2 linked regions of the Lepisosteus oculatus genome follow. The protein of the gene in region 2 interacts with the protein of the main gene of each other region in a pairwise test. Links are inferred from orthologs where the notes say so. Each region holds a gene or a part of one and is shown on either strand. Other genes may lie near its edges.

What was found.
Region 1: the proteins of mad2l1bp (region 2) and inositol polyphosphate 5-phosphatase K interact in binary tests that used the Homo sapiens proteins (3 or more experiments, as listed by UniProt). The link is inferred for Lepisosteus oculatus from reciprocal best matches to the Homo sapiens genes MAD2L1BP and INPP5K.

The regions. Positions count from the first base shown.
Region 1 is NC_090721.1:246,108-256,618, forward strand, and holds the start of inositol polyphosphate 5-phosphatase K, read right to left. Parts: upstream 4,555-10,511; 5' UTR 3,753-4,554; coding exon 3,520-3,752; intron 3,048-3,519; coding exon 2,943-3,047; intron 2,022-2,942; coding exon 1,913-2,021; intron 385-1,912; coding exon 268-384; intron 1-267. UniProt on the Homo sapiens protein: Inositol 5-phosphatase which acts on inositol 1,4,5-trisphosphate, inositol 1,3,4,5-tetrakisphosphate, phosphatidylinositol 4,5-bisphosphate and phosphatidylinositol 3,4,5-trisphosphate.
Region 2 is NC_090712.1:640,759-650,910, forward strand, and holds mad2l1bp (MAD2L1-binding protein), read right to left. Parts: upstream 3,979-10,152; 5' UTR 3,765-3,978; coding exon 3,512-3,764; intron 2,897-3,511; coding exon 2,634-2,896; intron 2,504-2,633; coding exon 1,985-2,503; 3' UTR 1,861-1,984; downstream 1-1,860. Other genes in the region: ephx5 (epoxide hydrolase 1), read left to right, coding at 94-202, 528-653, 1,073-1,283; gtpbp2b (GTP-binding protein 2b), read left to right, coding at 8,543-8,737. UniProt on the Homo sapiens protein: May function to silence the spindle checkpoint and allow mitosis to proceed through anaphase by binding MAD2L1 after it has become dissociated from the MAD2L1-CDC20 complex.

The DNA.
Region 1 (10,511 bases), on a different chromosome or scaffold from region 2:
AAGACAATTCCCAACTCAACATTTTTAAGACTCGTGGTAAACATGCAATACTGCTGAACAGCATGCTGGAAAGACAGCAGCAGTCAGCAGGCAGCCCTTCACCTCCCCTTCTGTTCATCTGCATCAAACTCATGAGTTGAGTTGTAGAACTGGACACCAGATTACTTATAAGCATGGCAGAAAATTTAGATTTTTTATATTGTTTCAGTTTTAACTTGGTTTTATCATTTGCTGGTGCCTGAAGGCAGGAATCGCTCTCTTTCCTACCCAGTATCCGTAGATGCCGGTGCGGGTGTAGCTGGCCTGGATGTCCCGGATGAATGTGATGTGCGCTTGCTTGGCAAAGAGGAGCAACAGGAGTCCCTGCATGCGGATGGATATCAGCTGCATGAGAAGGGACAGACAGGGTTGGGGGACAATGAGCTTGCCTCCATTCTGAAATCAAAGCTATTAATCAAAAAGTGAGGTGAAGAGAAAATATTTATTTTCAAGACAAATGTATGTGAAGTTATGGGCTCAACATGAAACAGCTAAGCGAACAACTGGCCATTGGCCATTCATTGAGTCACAGCACAACATGGCCACTTGGTCACGAAAGATTCCAAGGCACTGCTCACACAAACAGGAGTATGCACCCCGGTGATCTGGCTAAATGTCACTGTGCTCAAACAGTCTGGCCTCCCTAAAGTTCCCCCTGGTGCAGCAGTTCCTCACTCCTAGCCTGGATCTGCTCCTGCAGAGCAGATGCTGAGCATCACCCACGATGGAGGAGGAAATGGGTCTCCTTTAGTATGAAAGGGGATAAATATGTGTGAAAATCGATTATTATAAATTGGCTTTATCACTGGTTCCCAACTAATGGCCTGAACATTTCTGTTATGAGACAGCATGTGCTCTGCTTCTCACTAACTGCTTTGCAGATTCTAAGCTGTCCAGAAATAAAGCAAGCAAACGGGTCTAGAGTGGACATTGAAAGGAAGTGGTCCCTTTGGAGAAAAGTCTGTTCTTAATGACAGACGAATCTCCTGGGCACCTGTCAGCTGTTCAGGTCCCATTCTGGGTACTGGTAGTGTACAGCGCTTCAGCACTTTAGGGTTGACAGGTTCATTCAGAAGACAGGAGAATGAGAGAGATCATACAGGCAAAAGAGCAACTCCATGTGCTGCCAGTATGAACTGCAGGGAACTCTAGTGTGAACTACGTTAGCTAGTATTATCCCACTGTTCCTTTCAAGCAAACAGAGGTTTCCAGATAACAGAGGACACTACAAAGACATACATGTTCAGACACTCTGAGAATAAAAAGTTTAATAAAAAATGAAGGCTTAACAATATTAATTGGTTTGGACCACAAATGAGACTCTGTTTGATAAACAAACCATGCCCTCTCACTGTATTAACAGCCCCCTAATGAGGTGGATGACAATGCCTTCCATTGTTCAGGAAGGCCAAGTCAGCAGCGAGAGATACAGCACACACATGTCTCTGAAAGACACTGAAGCTGCTGGGATGGCAGCCTGGCCCAGTACTGCAATGAAAAGGTCCTGCATCAAGACCATTAGTTTCAGCCTTGACTGGAGATACAGCTTCAACTACAATTCTTTAAAGATGGTAGCACCTCTTTTAACCAGCTCTTAGTTTGCCACAAGCCTACAGCAGTGTCAGTGTTCAGGAATTTTATGTATTTGCATTTTGAAAAAGAAACAAAGTCTTCATGTGTGAGAGGAGAAGACCGCTTTGTTACAGCATCATAGCTTTCCCTAACTTGCAGGCACAGATGGTGCTACACAGAGAACTGGCATGGAATTCATTTTTACTTTCTTCATCAGTTTTTTACGCTCATGTTTGAAGCTCTAGAACTCTAGAAGGTGTGAACTGAGACGGACGCTGCAGAGAAGAGTAAAAGGCCGAACCTTCACATATCCCAGCGGGGCCAGCGTGTCCATCAGGAGGCGACTCCAGGGGTCCTCAAACGTCATGTCATTAATAAAATTCAGAAGCCTGGAGTTGACTTCCTGCAGCCTGCAGAGAAAACACAGAACAGCTGCCAAAGGCACCAGCGATACCAGCCTATGCCACCCGCATCCAGCATGCCGGAGTGCAGCTCTAGGCGGGCACTCTGCACTGGCAGCTCCTGAATGGGTGCACACGCCTTTCAGGGCTTCTTTATTTTCCTCTTCGAACATGACTGAACATGTCAGATGTCAACTGACACACCAGGGACCTGTGTGAGGACTTTGTTGCCTTCTGAGCAGTGATCAGAGGTATTATTCTCTTCTCGGGCATCAGCAGCTGTGGTTGAGGTAAGAGTACAGTACTGCATGTCTCGGGCTGAATATGTTAGAAACATATGCCTAATTCTTAGTAAGAAAGGATTTTCTGCAACATACATGTCTGCTCTGTCTATTTTGTTTTAGTCTTTAACTGGGACTTAATTTTTATTCTGTGACTTAAAGTTCTTATTGTTAGCTATGACTGTACTGTGATACTGGCAAAACTGATGCCCTTATAGCTGGTGTTAAAAAAAGTCAAACGGTAACATAAAATGATACATAAAGTAGAGGCTCATGTCACTCTGAAACAGAGCTTTAAAATAGTTATTACAGAGAATAAATTGTGTGAATTTCAAGGTAGGATGTTGCATGTTTTGATGTTAATGGAGTCTCTATGTGGCATTTAATTTTGCTTTGTACAACAAGCTGTTTTACTGTTGTTTGAAGTAGGACCATTTGTCACACACAACAGTCCTGTAAGCAGGGTGCTGACAATACCATGGAGCAGATCTCAAGAGAAAGTGGTCTTAAAGGAATGGCAGAAACTGAATAAGCAATACTCCTTTAAAAGGAGAACAGATTTTGTAATTGCAGTAGAAAGTGATGAAATAGAAATGTAGATGGGAAGAAGCCTCTTGCAGGATGTCCCACCTGCTGGACACTCACTCACCCAATCACAAACAAGTCAGCAGGTTTCTCAGAGTCCAGCTCCAGCAGGGAGCTGACATCGCTGGGGGGGGCAGCAGTCCCCACATTCCAGGTGACCATGTGCAACCTGAGAGAGAGGAGCAGAACCACAGCACCGCTGGTACATAAAGAAGGACACATTCCAGACATGGACAACTTGCATTGCATTGGTTCAGAGGAACATCGCTGCACTGCGTCTCCAAAGGCTATAAATAGCATCTCAGAAATTTTACAAAAACATCCAACAAGAGTCCAGCTGGAAACCACATTACTCCATCCCCTCCTCACTATGAAAAATCTCAGTGATGTGCCTGTAAATTTATGATACGTATGACTGAGACATTTGACTAGAGACTTTCCCATTTTGTTTTTTAGTATGTCTGCACCTCTCGCATCACATCAGTTAAAGCATTCTGAGTACTGAAGTGGAGGAGGAATTTGTGCTCATTGCCCTGGTTGTCCTTCCCTGGACTATCGGAAATACATGTGAATTTCTGGAGCTTTAAACCACTCTCTCTCCCCCCAGGACGCCAGGGAGCAGATGGTAACAGCCAAGGCACCTGAAGCGCTCCTCCTCGCGGGCGCCCCGCTTCCCGCAGAGCAGGAAAGCCTCATTCAGGGTGCGAGACACCTCCTCCTGCAGCTCCTCGTCAGAGCTCAGGTCCTCCACGCAGGTCATGAGCTGCACCACGCGCTGGCGCAGGAGCAGCCTCCCGCTGGTGGACACCGAGGCTGTGCTGGCCATGCTGTCGGAGCGGGCACGCAGCCCCGGGAGCCCCTCCGCATCCTCCATCCGCTGGCAGGCTGGGTCGGTCAGGGCGAGCTGGCAGTGAAGCTCCACACGCAATCACACACTGCCTCCCGGCACTTCTGCTCAGACTAGCCGATTGCGGCAGCAAGCCAGTAGCAATGCAAAACAAGCCGATCGATGAAAATTAAGATGATTCAATTACTGGTACAAGTGTTCAGTGAAAAGTTCTTAAAAATATATGAATGAGCTACAATCAATGGTTCCAGTATGAATCAGCAACTGCAATTCAAACAACAGTTTCTTGTTCTCTTTCTTGAACTTCTTTTGCATCCAGAATAAAATCCTTTCCAAAGTTCTTTGGTCAAAAGGTAATTTCTTGCAGTTTACAAAGCTGTAGTCGGACGTTTCAGAGCAGGTGAACAAGTCCTCCTTCTTTCAGCACGGGAGGAGCTCCAGCACCAGGACTGGCAGGCCCAGCAAGACCACCAAAAAGACAGAAGGAAAAACACCAAAAGACCAACTTCCTAATGAAGTAACAAGTCCACTTCTCCTTTAGGTCCAATTGTGCTCCTCAAATGAATTGGTGAAAACAACAATAAAACTTAAAAGGATGTTCTGCCTCTCAAGTGGAGGATTATTTAAATCTCCAGGAACCCACGTGACAGAGAGGCCTTGGTGACCAGAGGCTTGCGAATGCGTCTGTGCTGGGCACTGGCTGATTCCAGCATCACTGGCCCATTGTTAGGAGACATTTGAGCTCTAATCCGGTTAATATTCCAGTGAGGCAAATAATGATTTGTCTTGTGCGTAAGAGTTGGACTCTATAACACCAACAGTCTTGCTCTCCAAGCCAAATCACGACAAAAGGGGGTCTATCCCCCTCTAGCCCCAGTCTAGCCCCAATCCCCCACCTAGCCTCTTAACATGCTATTGGTCCACTGTGGTGGTCAGGCCACAAAATACATTAAAATTAAGTCAGCAGGTTAAAAAGGGCATTGGCAAAGTAAATAACTGTCTGAATTACATTTGATACCTTTGGCTTATTTTCAATGTCACTGAAGAGTTATCAGAATAACTTTCGCCACAGCATCCATTGGCTTGCCCAGTACAGTATGGAATTGTTCAAAATTATACCAAACTGGGCAACCTTAATGTTTACTTTAATTCTTATTGGAAAATTAGATTCTCTTACAATAACTTTGCTTAAAATTGCATTTTAAAAGAAGGTAACTACATTACATTATTCAGAGAGTAGTATCTGTGTATGAATTAGATGTAGCATATGCGTCATGACTTAACAGACTATCCCCATTAACAGACCACCCTTCCCCCAACAGAATGTTAAATTTTGCTTTTACTGTATTAACAGGACTCATAGATGTCATTATGCCCTGATTTTAGGTACATAGGTGCAGAAAGAAGTGAAGCAAAAGATCAAGATGGCCCATTTATCCCATCATACTTGTTTTCTTTTGGTAGAATAAAGCTAAAAGATTGCTGGGACCAAGGCTGCACCAATCCAACACCTTTCCAGAGCTCTCAGACAGCCACAGGCCTGCGGTTCAGCTCCCTCCTCACCCCCCCGTCACCCCACTCCTTCCAGGACAGCTCTGGAGCTGAAGCACACAAAGAAGAAAATCCGCTTTCCCCTGTGACAGCAGAGCTCTGGTTCTTAATTGGCAGAACTCCTGGCTAATGAATTGAAACTGTGCTTGGAGTGCTCAGATGTCCAGAAAAAGACTGTTACACAAAACCCACAAATACCTCTTTCACAAGGACTTTAATCCCCTCAGTTCACTGGATAATTCTGTCACAAGGTGCTTCCAGCATTCCTGAACATATCACAACAGAGGCATTCTTCAGATCAGGGGGCCAGGAGCAGGGTGAGGGTCTGAGCTCCAGTTCAGACCATTTGAACTTGCATGATCTGTTCAGCTGGCCAAACTCCGTCTCCATTAGTCAGGACCAGTGGATGCAATAGTGACATTCTCAATCTTCTCAAATTGCTATAATTGAGAGCACTGCAAGCTGCATTCTGACATATGTATGTAGAAAGATACAAGGACAGCTCCCACTAGAAAAAGCCCAGCACATTTGCGAGATGAGGTGCAGATTTTGTGAATAATATAAAACGTAATTAAGTTAATATGAACAGTTACAAACAAGAGGAGGACACCCAGGTTATCTTGTCTCTTTGTTAGTCCCTAACTGAAGGATCAAGCTGTTTTCTAACAGAAGCCAGGGTATGGGCTTCAACAAGGCTGGGTAACATGTTCTACATTCCCACAACCCTCTGGCTGAAGACATACCTCCTGTCCTCAGTTTAAAATGTACTTCCTCGTAGTTTCTGCTTGTAGCCTCTGTATCTTCACGTAGGGTTTGCGTTTAATTGTTTATTCGGAAGAAATCTACTGGGCTGATGTTGTCAATGTCTTTGAGGATTTTGAACATTTGTATCAGGTCGGCTTATTGTCTTCTCTGTTCAAAACTGTAAAGATTTAGTTCCTTTGGCCTGTCAGTGTAGGAAATTTCTTTGTGATCTGGAATGTATCTGGTTGCTCTTTTCTGGACAGATTACACAGAAGCAACATCTTTTCTACAACATGGTGTACAAAACTGTACACAATTTTCTAAATGAAGCCATGCTAGTGCATTGAAGACGTTTAACATAACATCCCTTGATTTAAATTCTGCACTTTTAAATTTAAATATATATTCTTTCATACATATTTAGGATTTCCTTTTTATTCCTTCTCCTCATTGTCTAGAAGATATAAGCAGAACCTGCATCAACACACACATCTGTCGTTTACATCAGTAGCCTCTTCTATCTCAGTTTCCCATTTTGTATCTGCAAGTTATCTTCTTGCTGCCTACACTGCCAAACCCTGCCTACCTCTCCTATTGTCACTTGGATTCAACAAGGAGTGGCAACACTTGCCAACTTGGGTGGACTTAACTTGACCAGGACACCCTCATCTTGTCGTGCAAGAGTGGCCCCTGTGACTGGCCAGGGCCTGCGAGTGTCCAGTGTGGTCTCCGAGGAGCGCTCGCTCTGCTGTAGGCTCCACAGTTCGCGCTGCCTGACCAGGCAAAGGAGCAGAAACACGCGCTTTCACAGAGCACGCTATGAGCACCCTCACTCCTCTGATCTTGGACTGTATCGGTGAGTCAAACTGATTATTTCTGTGATCGGAAGTGCATAAACAGAAAATTATTGACAATTATAATTTTTTTATCAATTCAGGAACAGTCTCACAAAACATAATATATATTATATATAAATAATAACATATGGAAAAAATGGCAAAAAAGTTCTCTATTGGTCCAGCCTGAATAGTAGGACTGATCTTTCCCATTTTTTCTAATTTTTTCTTCTTTCTACAGCACCTACCAGTTACTAATCCCTAAACTCCGTATGTATGTGGTAAGAAGCTCTATATACAGTCCCGGGCGGCAATACCCTAACAACCCCAGAGCAATGAGCACCAGCTTCGCACCTTCAGAGCAAATGAAGAACTAAGAGCACAGACTGTGTTCTCCAGCAGTGAGGGATCAGGTATTTCCTCATGGCGACACATGGGTCCACACCTGACCAGCTCTGAGCACCAGAACCCTCTCACTTCCTGGAAGCAGGTTTCTTATGAGGTAACAAGTTACAAGAGGAAAGAGGTCTGCAGCTTCAACCATCCATGTCAATCTTCCTGTCGATGCCTTTTCCAAGGCAACAGCAATGGAACTAAAAACTCCCCACTGCTCTGGCAGCTCCCCAGGGAGACAGGGCCCTGAGCATAAGGGTCTCACAGGGGAAAGACCAGGTTTCTGCAGCCAGGTGTGAACCTGCCCTCAGGACGTGCTGAAGACACCTGGAGCATGAGGAAGGTCATCAATTGGCCATTTTACCCAAATAGTTCATGTGATTCATAGTAGATGTTCAAGCTGGGGATCTCATTCAGCTGTTTCAGACTCCCAAAGCCTTTTGTCTGATCAGATAACAACATTCAACATCTAAGGTTAAATAACCATAATTAGAATCATGTATCATGATCTACACATTGCAGAAACACTCAGCTCTCACACTGGCATCATTATCATCCTCACCCCTAAACGTACCTGAAAGTGTCCATCTTGGCTGCAGTCTTACTGCTGATCTTGGCCTGGAACAGAGAGTTCTGGGTCTCTGACGTAGGGCTTAAATGCATCCTTGAGCCTGTGAAGACACACACCACATCAGCTCACGGACGCAGCTTCATCATTCCCAGGGACCCTGCAGTCACACAGTCCAGTGCTCTGGGAGAAGCCTGAGAAATCAGTGCTGCATCATTTGCACTGCTGACAACTGAGGTGTGTGCAGATACCACGAAAGGGTCAGGCTCAATCTGATGTTTCTGTGCTGTGTCCTACAGCCCTAACTATTGTGAAATATTAATATTTTGAATGCAGTACTTCTCTGTATATTACAAAACACTATTTGAAAACAAATGATGGAACAGACAGCTAATTCATAAAAAAGATTAGCCACATCCTGGATTTTCTCTGTGTCTAATCGCCTTTTCTAATCCTTCTGATGTCTGCTTTTCACAGACCATCACATGCCTGGACCAGAACAATCTGATCAATATGCTGCATGTCTTTTTCAGAATCGCTTCCCCAGAATTCCTTCTTATACAGGGCTGACGGTAAAGGTCTGCGCTTTTACTGTGCTCGTGATACAGGCACTCTCACGTCGTCTCCCATTATTTATCGGGCGTCTCCATCTTCCAGGGCTGCTGTCAGAAAAGATTTTATATGTTCGTGATTTTTTCCGCTTCACTCCAATGCTGATATAGCTGTGCCATATCTATCTATGGAACCAGAACATTAATAGCACGCTGTTTAATCATTTTATAATATTTAGCGTTATAATTCAGCCCTTTAATATTTAAATCCAGAGACATCTTGAATGCCTGGTTTATGACAAGTGGAATTCTTTTTAAAACAATTTTTAATTAAAAACTGTTCAAGTACAGTTTTATTTAAAAAATCTTTTTTATCAGCCTATGACGTTCACAGTAGACATCTGTTAATCAAACAGCGCAGACCCACATCTGCGTGACACTGGAACACTGACAGGACGCGACACGACACGGAAAACACCTGTGGGTGCGAGTGGTCTACAGCATGAACAACGAGAGCATAATTATAGATCTTCGCGTTGTAGGAAACTTAAATCATCCTGATGCCACTCTCCATAAATACCGGACTTGCAATACACGAGCTGACACGTCTTACCGTCTTAAGAGTTCCAGTTTTAACATCAGTCAACTGGTAAAGTGCCAACAGCTTCAACATAGTAGCGTTCCTACTATAAGAGCATGTGTAAACACGCAGAGCACAATCACGCATCCCACGTTAGACGGCAAACGACCGTGTTTAACATCATTATTACTATCCACATTAACACTAAGCACTGCGCTGCTTCGCCTACGTACGTCACTGTGAGATACTGTTATTCCCATAGCTGAGTCAGGCTGAGCCAAATAAACGCGGAAAGAAAAGAATTTCATGCTGCCCGTTCACTCCACGATTTCCTTTATTTTAGAAATAATCTCATCTTTCAGACATTTACGACTTCTAGGCAGACGTCGCAAAATAAGTTTAAAGGCATCTCTGACAGCACAGATTAGCGCATCAGTTGACTAATCACGTATTTACAGCACCGCCCCTCCTCTCCGATCAAATAAAGGCTAAACGGATCCGCCAGAGAGGCATCAGTTTCCTTCTATATATTTTCCTGCTAATCTGAACATGGTCGATTCACAATGTTTCAATTACCATAAAAACAAAATATTAAGTCATACCGTGCGGTAATAATGAGCCAGCTACGCCAGTCACGCTGTCCGAAAAACAAACAGGTGCATCTGCTGTGCCTACTGAGTGACCGGGCGCTTGCAGACACAGCCGCTTGCTGCCAGCCCGAGTGCGGCATGAAGACGCTGGAGCTGGCTTCCTATTTGCGGTGCCGTTCACAATAAAAGTCCTCTAAAACACGCTAAAACTCCTGGACAGTGTAAAGTTGCATTTCTGGCAAAACAACAATTTGTGCATCCTCAGAACTGGGTGGAATGCGATACGAAGGCTCGCAGCTAATAGAAAATGACCGGTCTTCAGTCGTTTTTACCTCCTTGCTAATGTTTTTGTGTTTTTAGATCACTTCCTCTTGGCAAATTGGTACAGTGCTGGACAGGGGAAAGAGTCGCCTCTGACCAAACAAAACTGTGTACATCTCAAAACCCTTTTTATCGTATGGGGAAAAAAACAGTTTAAAGAGAATGACAATTTACAGGAGTATAAATGAAAGAATAGTTTGCTGGGTCAGCTTCAAAGGAACAGGTAAAGGTTTAGTCCATGCTGAGAGGAAAAGAAAAGAACATTTCGGCTGCAGAACCTTCTTCAGATTTGAGGGCGTAAATGAAACGAAACGTAGGCATCAGTAGAGGTGATCTGCAATACAAAAAAACATGAAAAATTCCAGAGAATGTTAAAAAGTTACAAGTAACCTAGACGAAATTACTACGCAGGTTTGTTTTAATGTTTTTATTTTTTAAACACAAAAGGGAAATACAACAAACAGGGGTATATACATACAAATGTCACAACGTGATAGAACAAAGGTACCATCAGATGAAGGAAAGAACAAAAGAGAAAAATTAGTACGCAGGTGTTTGCTTTGCTGAGCGCTGCTGTACTCGTTACTGAGGACTTTTACTTTGATTGAAATTCGGCTGTTTACAAACATTTCCGGTTCATTCGCGCTGCTTA
Region 2 (10,152 bases):
GGGATGAAAATGATCTGGGAGAACACTGGGCTCTGAAATGCAGCTGGTCTGCTACTCACCAGAGCTCAGAGGGGCTGTGTCTCCCCCCTGCAGGCTGTGGGCTGAACGACTCCCCTGTGGGCCTGGCTGCCTACATCCTGGAGAAGTTCTCCACCTGGACAGACTTCCAGCACAGAGGCCTGGAGGACGGGGGGCTGGAGAGGTAAGAACCTCTTGCTGCTCCCAAAACCCCCTCCAGGGACTGGAATAAATAAAATGCTGACCTCTCTCTACATAGACTGTGAAATTAATGTATATTTGAACATTTTAATAATTTGTTTTCAAAATGCTAAGAGCACAGAACTGGTAGAGCTAAGACCTTGGGGACCAGTGCTGTGTGCAGCAGGTATAAACCAGCACTGGAAATACTGCAGTTGCTCCGGGACCCGCCTCTGCTTAGGAACGAGTTTCAAGAGCTGTGTGACCCGGCGGGGACAGCAGCAGGACACGAGGTGGTTTGTTCACAGGAGATCCGCCTTTTCTTCCAGGAAGTTTTTCCTCGATGATCTCTTGACGAACGTCATGTTGTATTGGACCACAGGCTCCATTGTGCCTTCGATGCGGTTTTACAAAGAGAACCTGAAGGAGAACATTCACAAGAGGGTGGATGCCAGGTGAGATCACTTTCCTGGACACCCTGAACAAGGGGTCTTTACAGGGTTACTCCTTTCAGTTTCTGGCCTCCTCTCCCTTTGGTTCCCAATTAGATAAATCATGCTTGGAGGATGCAACTTCAAAACCTTCATAACAGCGCAGGGAAGCTGTTACTTCCCTCTCCTGTTGGCGCTGTGCAGGCTCCCGGCAGGGCCTCACTGGGTAGAGGCTGAGGCAGGTTGAGGCAGACTAGTGGGTCATGTCTGACTTCCGCCTCTGTCCAGGTATTCAGTAGGGCTCCTGGCCACGGTGCTCGTCTGGGTTAAACAGGTGTGGAACAGCTCTAGCAGGGAGCTGCAGTGCTGGGGAGACAGCAGTGGGTCTGATGCTAAAATCAAGGCCTGTTTTAACACCGTCCCTGGCCTGCGTGTTTTGGCAGGGTGGGCGTGTACGTTCCCACCGGCCTGGCGGCCTTTCCCCACGAGCTCCTGCACTGCCCGCGGTCCTGGGCAAGGTGGCGCTACAAGAACATCGTCTCCTACTCCTACATGCCCCGGGGGGGGCACTTCGCCGCCTTCGAGGAGCCAGAGCTGCTTACCGACGACTTCCGCGAGTTCGCAAAGAAAGTGGAGAAAATTGAAAAAAATTAAGAGGAGGATCCTGCTGGCCTGGTCCTGGAGCACTGCTGCATGTTCTGATTTTGAGATCTGTTACTTACTGACCACTAATTGGCTTTGTTAGTTCAGATCAATGAGATTGTATGAGGCATCTAAACCTGATAGACTGGGTTCTCCACAATGGGCTTGTGATACTGCTGAAGGGGATTCTAAATTAGCACTAATTGTGAAAGGTGACATGATGTTTAGATTAAGAGTTTAACACAATCTGACAACACACTAAACTGCAGCTCTTCAGAAAGGCACTTTACAGCAGATTTAATCTAAACTTTAGAGAAGGCCCATGGAAAAACCATCAGGTCTACTCCTTCTCCACAATAAAAAGCTTCCAACAGCAATGAAACTGACGGCTGCTGCTGTAACCTTCAATGAATTTCCACATCATTAGGGAAGGAAAATCTCACTTCCTGTGCTGCATTCTTTAAAACTTTAATACTTTAAACGAATTTACATTAGAATTGAAAGACATCCACACAACTTACAAGTTAAAAAAACAGCACCGATGGCCTCCCGCACTGACCATGAGGAGGCTCCGCAGAGGTAAAAAGCAGGAAAGGGGGGCTTTCTCCCTGTGCGGATAACCCCCACAGTCCCATGCTGACTCATGCCCAACTTTATTTTGCCACATCGCTTAGTGTAACGCGTATCTCGTCTGGCTCTCACCCCATTGTCTCTCATTTGCAAAACCCCTTGATGACCACAGGCGCCTGGAACCAGATATAATCCTCCCAGTCCCGCTGTTCGCCCTGGGCGGGGGTGGGGGGGTGCGTGTCGGAGGACAGAGCGATCACCTGCCTCTTCGCCCTGGTGGGCACCGTGTAGTCCTGCCTGGGCCGGAACCAGCCCACGCCGCAGTCCCGGTGGCCCAGCACCATGACCGTGGTGGCCACCAGGCTCCTGGGCTGCGGCTTGAACAGGACGTCCGCCACGAAGAGGGTGTGGAAAAGCTGACGCAGGCATGCGGCCGTGCCCAGGCTGCCAGCCTCCTCGCCCAGGACCAGGGCCTCCAGATCGATCTCGAACAGCTCCTTGGGCGCCATGACGTTGCCCCCCAGGAGCAGCAGCACGCGGGGCACCAGGGTGAGGGAGAACAGCACCTCCAGGTTCTGCAGCACCTCCTTCAGCTCCCGCAGCGTCTGTTGACAGCGCCGGCCGTCCAGGCCGCCCGTCTTCATGGGCCTGCGGAGGGCGCCCTGCAGAGGAAGGGCAGAGGTCAGACCTGAGCGGCGCTTCCTGTACTCTTGCTCCGTGCACCGCCCGGAGTCCCGATAGCGAGCCAGGCCCGCGTGTCCGTGCCCACAGGAGTGCGGGCGCCCAGCTCACCTGGCGGCCCGCCGGCGCTGTCGCCTCCTGCAGCAGCAGGAGCTGGTCGTAGGGCGCGGGCAGCTGCTGGCGCTCGTACAGCACGAACTTGAGCAGCTCGCAGGCAAACCTGCAGCAGCTGGTGTGGGCAACGGCACCGCGGAACACCACGCACACACGGCCGTCCTCCGCCTGCGCGCGAGGCCCAGAGCCTCTGGCCGGGGCGTCCACACACCGAGGGCAGCCGGCTGACCCCCCAGTCGCAGTGTCGACTTCCACTAAAACTGAAAGGAAATCACAGCGGAAAATCCTCCTGTCAGGGATTTAATTTTCTACACCACATGCACAGAGGAGGAAAACAACACTGGACAGTCCTACACTGTTGTAAAACACAGGAGCTCAGTAACCCACACTAACCTGGAAGACCATTCCAGATCAGCTCAACCAGAACTTGATTTGTGCTGGAAATACACACCTGGGGGCTTCAGCTCGCCCAGGTCTGAAAAGCTGTAAATTATTCATCCTAAAGAGCTCCCACGTGTGAAACATCAGACAGTTGGACAACAACACCCACCTATTCTCTAGTGCGGGCAATCAGTGACGCCTAGACCAAACTGTCAGGAGCGTTTTAATGACAAATTTAATCTCAAAAGTACAGCCGTCTAGGCTACAGTACACAAAAACGTAGGTCTGTATACTGAATGCCCACACAAACCACAAACATGTTTAAAGTAGTAAAATATTTAATATGCTTATGTAGTTCTTTCGGAAATGAACTTCTTAACCCAATTAAATGATTACTATTAATCTAGCTGGATTCCTATTCCTGATACAGGACACGCGAGGTGTCTGGGCCAGCGGAGGCCCCTGTCCAGCCGGGGCGGCACCGCCGAGCGCACCTGCGGCCTGGCCCGGCCCGGGAAGCCGGTTCTCCTTCTCCTCCTCGCCGCGGCCGCCCGCTCCCGTCTTGCCAGGCAAGGAGACGTCTGTGTTTTCCGACGTAACTGCCGCACCGATGTCCAGCACCGCCATCCTCTGGTCCAGGGGCTCCGGGTCCCGGTACACCGTCACCGGGCTGCCCGGCCGCCGCTGCTCCGCCATCCTCAGCCTCAGCCCCGGCTCGGTTTGAATCCGCCGCCGCGGCTGCGGCATCACGGGAGCCCGCAGGAAGTCGGGTCTGACAGCACGGGGCTCCTCACAGCCCCAGCGCAAAACTCAGCCCCGGCCGTGCCGTGCGCTCTTAATTTTAATCGTATATTTGATTTGGTTTTGTATTGTTATTTTTTAAATCTCTTTCAGGTTTTTAAAAACGCGTCACTTCCTGTACGTCAGACGGACTGCCGAGCCCTACAGTCTGCGCAGCTGCACCAGCGGCAGTCCAGCTGCTGAGGCATACGCCGACGTCTTAATGTCGGACACCGCCTAGACTGTACAGTACACTTCCTTAATTACTCTGGCACACAAATAAGATCTCATTGCCCTCTGTCGAAAAGTGCCGTAGCCCCGGATGCCGCTGAAAGGTAAAATGTAAAAAACATTCCTGACGCCTGGTCACCTCGGCGTGCGGCTTTATTATTAAGATTGTTTTATTTTCTGCTCGCTCTTCTTGAATCTTGAATAAGGGAGCGGTATAACCTATTGGGTTTGAACACAACAGCGGCAGGTTGCGGGTTCGAGTCCCTGCTGCAGGCGCTGCTGGTGTGCCTTGAGTGAGATACTGTACCCCATTTGCTCCAGTTCACCCAGTTGTGTAATAATAAGTTGGGGGATAATTCCTACACGGAGGGGAGTCACGTGCTCTCTCGTCCGCTTAACTCGCTGGAAACCGGGCTGAGCTCCAATCGACGAGCCGCTGTGGACTTCATCTTTCTTATCTTTCACGAATAAAGATGTCATGCCGCTGGTCTTCAGGTCTATCTCACGCCTGACCACAAGGCGGCAGCAGTCTTCCACTGTCTGAGACACTGTCCACCTTTAATACTTTAATTTCTCTGGGCGCACACAGTCAACGTTTTCACTGTCTTTACTAGTCATCAGGACTCCACAATTGTCATGCAGACATAGAGAGCAGAAGAGTAAATCTCAATATTACCAGTTATGCTTATGGATATCCTCAGTGTTAAGACACGTAGTGCAGCAAATGTACAGGGCGGAGTGGTGGCTCTGTGGCTCAGGATCTGCGCCTGTGGCTGGAAGGTTGCTGGTTCAAGTCCCGTGGCTGGCAGAGGAATCCTACTCCGTTGGGCCCCTGAGCAAGACCCTTCACCCCAGCTGCTCCAGGGGCGCCGTATAAATGGCTGACCCTGCACTCTGACCCCAAGCTTCTCTCCCTGTCTGTGTGTCTCATGGAGAGCAGGCTGGGGTTTGTGAAAGATGAATTCCTAATGCAAGAAACTTTATATGGCTAATAAAGTGATCTTACTAAGATACAGAACACACCTTAAGACAAAATTAATTTGTATCAAGGTTTTTTTTGTCGAAATTGTACAATGCATACAGGGAGGAGGTTGAAACCCTGACAGCATGGTGCCAGGAGAACAACCTCTCTCTTAACATCAGTAAGACAAAGGAGATGATTGTGGACTATAGGAAACATCAGGGAGGAGACCACACACCTATTTACATCAATGGGACTGCAGTGGAGAGGGTCAGCAGTTTTAAGTTCCTGGGAGTTAACATTTCAGAGGACTTAACCTGGACCCACCACACCAACACCGTGGTCAGGACAGCACGGCAGCGCCTGTTCTTTCTCCGCAGGCTAAAGAAGTTCAGCATGCCGTCACATATCCAGGCCAACTTCTACAGGTGCACCATTGAGAGCATCCTGACTGGTTGCATCACTGTCTGGTATGGGAACTGCTCCGCCCGGGATCGCAAAGTACTGCAGAGGGTGGTGAAGTCAGCGCAGCTTATCACCAGCTGTGAGCTACCAAGCATCCAGGAGATCTACTCAGCTAGATGTCTGAAGAAGGCCAGGTCCATTCTCAAGGACCCCAGTCATCCCAGTCACAAACTGTTTTCCCTCCTACTGTCTGGTAAACGGTACCAAAGCATTCGGTCCAAGTCCAACGGACTACGGAACAGCTTCTACCTCCAGGCAATAAAACTGCGAAATAGCCAATCTGCAGCTCCTTTATCAGATCACCTGTAATGGCTACATGGACACACAGTTTTCACTGTATTCAGCATAACTGCACTACATGTATATATTGCATACACCATGGAAACATAACAGCTCTACTCATATTGAGTTTTATTCAATTTCAAAAATGTAACCTCAGTTTTGTGATTTTTGTGTTTTTGTGAATTTTGTGATTTTTGTGAGCTCGCAGAAAAAGACATTTCATTGCCAGCAACTACTGCTGCACGCTGTATTGTTGTGCATTTGATAAATAAACTTTGACTTGACTTTGACTTGACTTGATGTACCAGAAAGACCTAATTTAGCATGTTGTATACAACTGTTATCTGTGTGTTATAAAATTGTTGCTCTGCAATCAGCCCAGAATAGAGTAACCACATACATTCCTGAACTCAAAGGAATGTCCTGCACTGTCGGGCAAAAGGACCTAAATATTTCTAGGCTTGTACAGAGAATACCTAATACAAATATTCAAAATCCTGAAATGAACTCCAGCCCAGTGGAACAGCGAAACACAAACCACAGGACACAAGTGGAAACTAGGTAGGAGTGCATTTAAAACCAAGAACAGGAGACATTTCTTTACGGTTCAGTTCAGTACTTCATTGCCAAGTCAAAGAACCTGATAGAGATTTGCTCTACTGCAGCCCCGATTCAAAGAAGAAAAATGTTACACTTCCACAGACAACATCCTGAGGTGTCTAATGACAAAAAGAGTTGTGAGAGTAGGGAACAGGATACTCTGTCATGTTTCTGAAGATGATAGCCTGGCTTCTCCCAAGACACAGCTGGATGAGATCCTGTGATCCTGAGATCACTACAGTATGTTGTGTGGGCACGGGCAAACTAGGAGACTGTCTAGAGCAATCAGGGATCCCCCTTAATGTGCAACACAACATTTTTTTTACTCAGCATGTTCAATTTGTGAGTGAAAAATTCCCTAGTGTGGCACTTTCTGTTGCTGCTGTTGTTGTGTTGTATTTGTAGCTGATACTTGTAGTGTCTGTGCAAATCGTGATCAGGGGAGTCTGCTGTCCAAGACCTTGCCTAGGGCCTGCAAGTATTTTTTTGTTGAACTAAGAAAACATGTTGGCGTTTGCAACCTAGGAGTAGTTTCACAATGAGGACAACAATATTGCTGGCTTCATTTGATATTCTTCACCTCTAACCTCACCCATTGCTGACGCAAAGACAGGCAAGAGTCAAGCATAGACATCCCCTCTTCTGTGGGCGGGGATTCTGATTTGAGTTGTAGCCAATAGGAGGAGAGATTGGGTTAAGAACCCAGCCCACTTTTGGTTCCTCATGAATATTCAGTGATCACTGATAAGGATCTCCATGGAAACATTTCCATGTGGATAATCCTAATGGAAGCCCGCTCAAAAAATAACCAATCATAACCAATAACCAAATAAGTTTCTGAAGCGCAGAAAAGAAGAGCAGGATAAGCGATCTCAAAACAGAGGTACGCTCCAATCATTTTAATAATACATCATTTGCATGATAATGTAATTTGGATTTCATTTGCTTTTGAGTCTATCAGATCCATGTTAGTAGCAAATAGTAGACGAACCACATTTTCAAGATCAAGATGTAGACTACGAGAGGTGTTTTACTTGAAGTTAACAGATTCATGTTTCTCTAATTGTACACAAGCTGTGTGGGATACCTGGCTAAAAATCAGTGCTGCTAGGCCAAACAAAAGCTTGAAGGTGAATGCGCAGTACAAAAAACTGTTCAGTGTTTATACGTGATCAGAGTTAAAACATATTTGTTTTCCTTGGGGTTTCTGCTGTATTTCAATGAATGGGGGTATCGTGAACCCAACCTGTAGCCCTTCAGATTGCAGTCTCTCTCCCAGTGACAGTGGCAGGAGCAGAGAGGAGCTGCTCAGAGCTCAAGATGATTAAAACACTCCTGAGGTCAGCCTTGGCACAAGGCCATCATGAGCATCAGTCACGCTGTGGGTCGACTACTATGGCATGAAGATGCAATTGATGATTTTGCCTCCCGAAAATCTAGTCGAATGATTTATAGAACATTTTTTTGGATGCTCCCATTTGCTTGGCCTGTTATCTTTGTAAAATGTATGCTTCTTGTTCTTGTCTGTAACATATTATGTGCTCTTCAAAGTTGAACAGTACGTTTTCCAGTTAAATAATTAATTTATTTAATGGTTCTAAACAGTAAAACAAGGTTGTGTTGGGAGCTGATACTAGTAATGTCTGTGCAAATCATGAATAAGGGAGGCCCCTTTCCAAGACCTTGCCTAGTGCCCGCAGGGAGCTTGGGCCGGCCATGGTTTTTGTTTTTGTTGAACTAAGAAAACATGTTTTGGCATTTGCAACCTAGGAGTAGTTTCACAATGAGGACAACAATATTGGTGGCTTCATTTGACATTCTTCACCTCTAACCTCACCCGTCGCTGATGCAAAGACAGGCAAGAGTCGAGCGCAGACATGCCCTCTTCCGTGGGCGGGGATTCTGATGTGAGTCACAGCCAATAGGAGGAGAGACTGGATTGAAATCCCAGCCCACTTTTGGTTCCTCATGAATATTCAGTGAACGTCATCGAAAATATTTCCCTCTCTGTCATCAGCCTTGACGTATATCCGCTTCAGTGAGCTCAGTGCTGAGGTATCGTTTTCGGGTGCAGAGGGGGTGCAGTGTTTTTGTTTTTATTCCCTCTCTGTAGCCCAGCAGATGCGTTACCGGCGCTGTCCCGGTTTTCGGAAGTCGAAAGAGCCGCGACGCATCTGAGGGGGAGGAGAGAGGCCGCGGCCGCAAGATGGACTCGCGGATGGCGGAGCTCTTCGGTACCGGCTCCGGCTTGAAGTCGGGCTCGCAGGGACTGGCTGCCGGTTCGGGGAACGGGTTCGGGATGATGTCCAAAAAGTCGACCTCGAAAAACGGCAAGAAAGCGAAGAACCGGGCGAGCAGAAGCACGAAGCCCAGCAACAACCCGCCGTACCTGCCCCCGGAGGTGAGACCGCGGAGCGAGCGGAGACCGGGTCTCGGACCCAGTCAGAACCCGTCCGGACTGCAGCATGTTTGTGCTGAGCCGCAGTTCGTGTTCCAGACTTGCTTTCTGTTTCGGATGAGCAGATACGAGCTCCCGCGATGTTACAAATGCATGTAATTTACAAACAGGAAGGCAGCTGGCTGGGCTTGAGCGTTTTAAACCCGTGAGGTTGGGGTTAACTCAGAATAACAGCCCTGAGATGTGGTTAGGAATGAACATTAAGACGACAGTAGTCATAGTATCAACTACTATTATTTTTTTTTCGCTAAGTGAACCAATAGAGGGAGAGAGTGCTGTCAGGGCACAGGACGGAAGAGAGAAGGTTGTTTGATTGTCTGATTGTGGACAGTCAGCTGACAGATGTTTTCTGTGTCCTTGTTGTTGTTGTGTTATATAGTTGTTTTTTTCTGTTGTAATACTACAATAATAGCTATACAGCTGTTTATCACGTTTTGTAGTTTGTTAGTTGTCTGTTGTTGTGCTTTGGCGTTATGGTAATGTTGTGGTTCTTAGCCCTGGTCCCGGATTACTCCTGTGTGTCTGCTGTTTTTTTTCCAGCTGGGTTCTTAATCACTAGCAAATTTATTTTGATTTCTGATATTCATCTGGACTGAGGCAGAAGAAAAGACACTGACACAGTGATACAAGGAGAATCTGACACAGTGTCACTCTCACCTGTGTGTGTTCATCTTAAGTCGGTCACATGTTAAGAGCAGTTTAGTCAGGCAGTATGAAGCAAACTCTTAATGACCTAGCTGATATAAGACTGCGTAATAATAATAATTGCTTACACTTATATAGCGCTTTCTGGACACTCCACACAAAGCGCTTTACAGGTAATGGGGATCCCCTCCACCATCACCACTGTGCAGCCCCACCTGGACGATGTGACGGCAGCCATAGTGCGCCAGAACACTCACCACACACCAGCTCTCAGTGGGGAGGAGAGCAGAGTAATGAAGCCAGTTCATAGATGGGGATTATTTGGAGGCCATGATTGGTAAGGGCCAATGGGAAATTTGGCCAGGACACCGGGGTTACACCCCTACTCTTTTCGAGAAACGCCCTGGGATTTTTAACGACCACAGAGAGTCAGGACCTCGGTTTTACGTCTCATCCGAAGGACGGCGCCTGTTTACAGTATAGTGTCCCCGTGCATAAAGTTCTGTATATTGAAGTTGAAAGACTTAAGACATTTACATACAACATATAGAACATTACTGAGAGACAGGTTCACTGCTCCTCAGGCTAATAAAGTCAGTAAGAGAGAGAGAGAGAGAGAGAGAGGAGCGTCAGTGCAAAACAGCTTCTGGGCCTCGGTACAGTTTTAGAAACTTAATCTATGAAACACTATCAGCATTGATGCCTCAGGTATG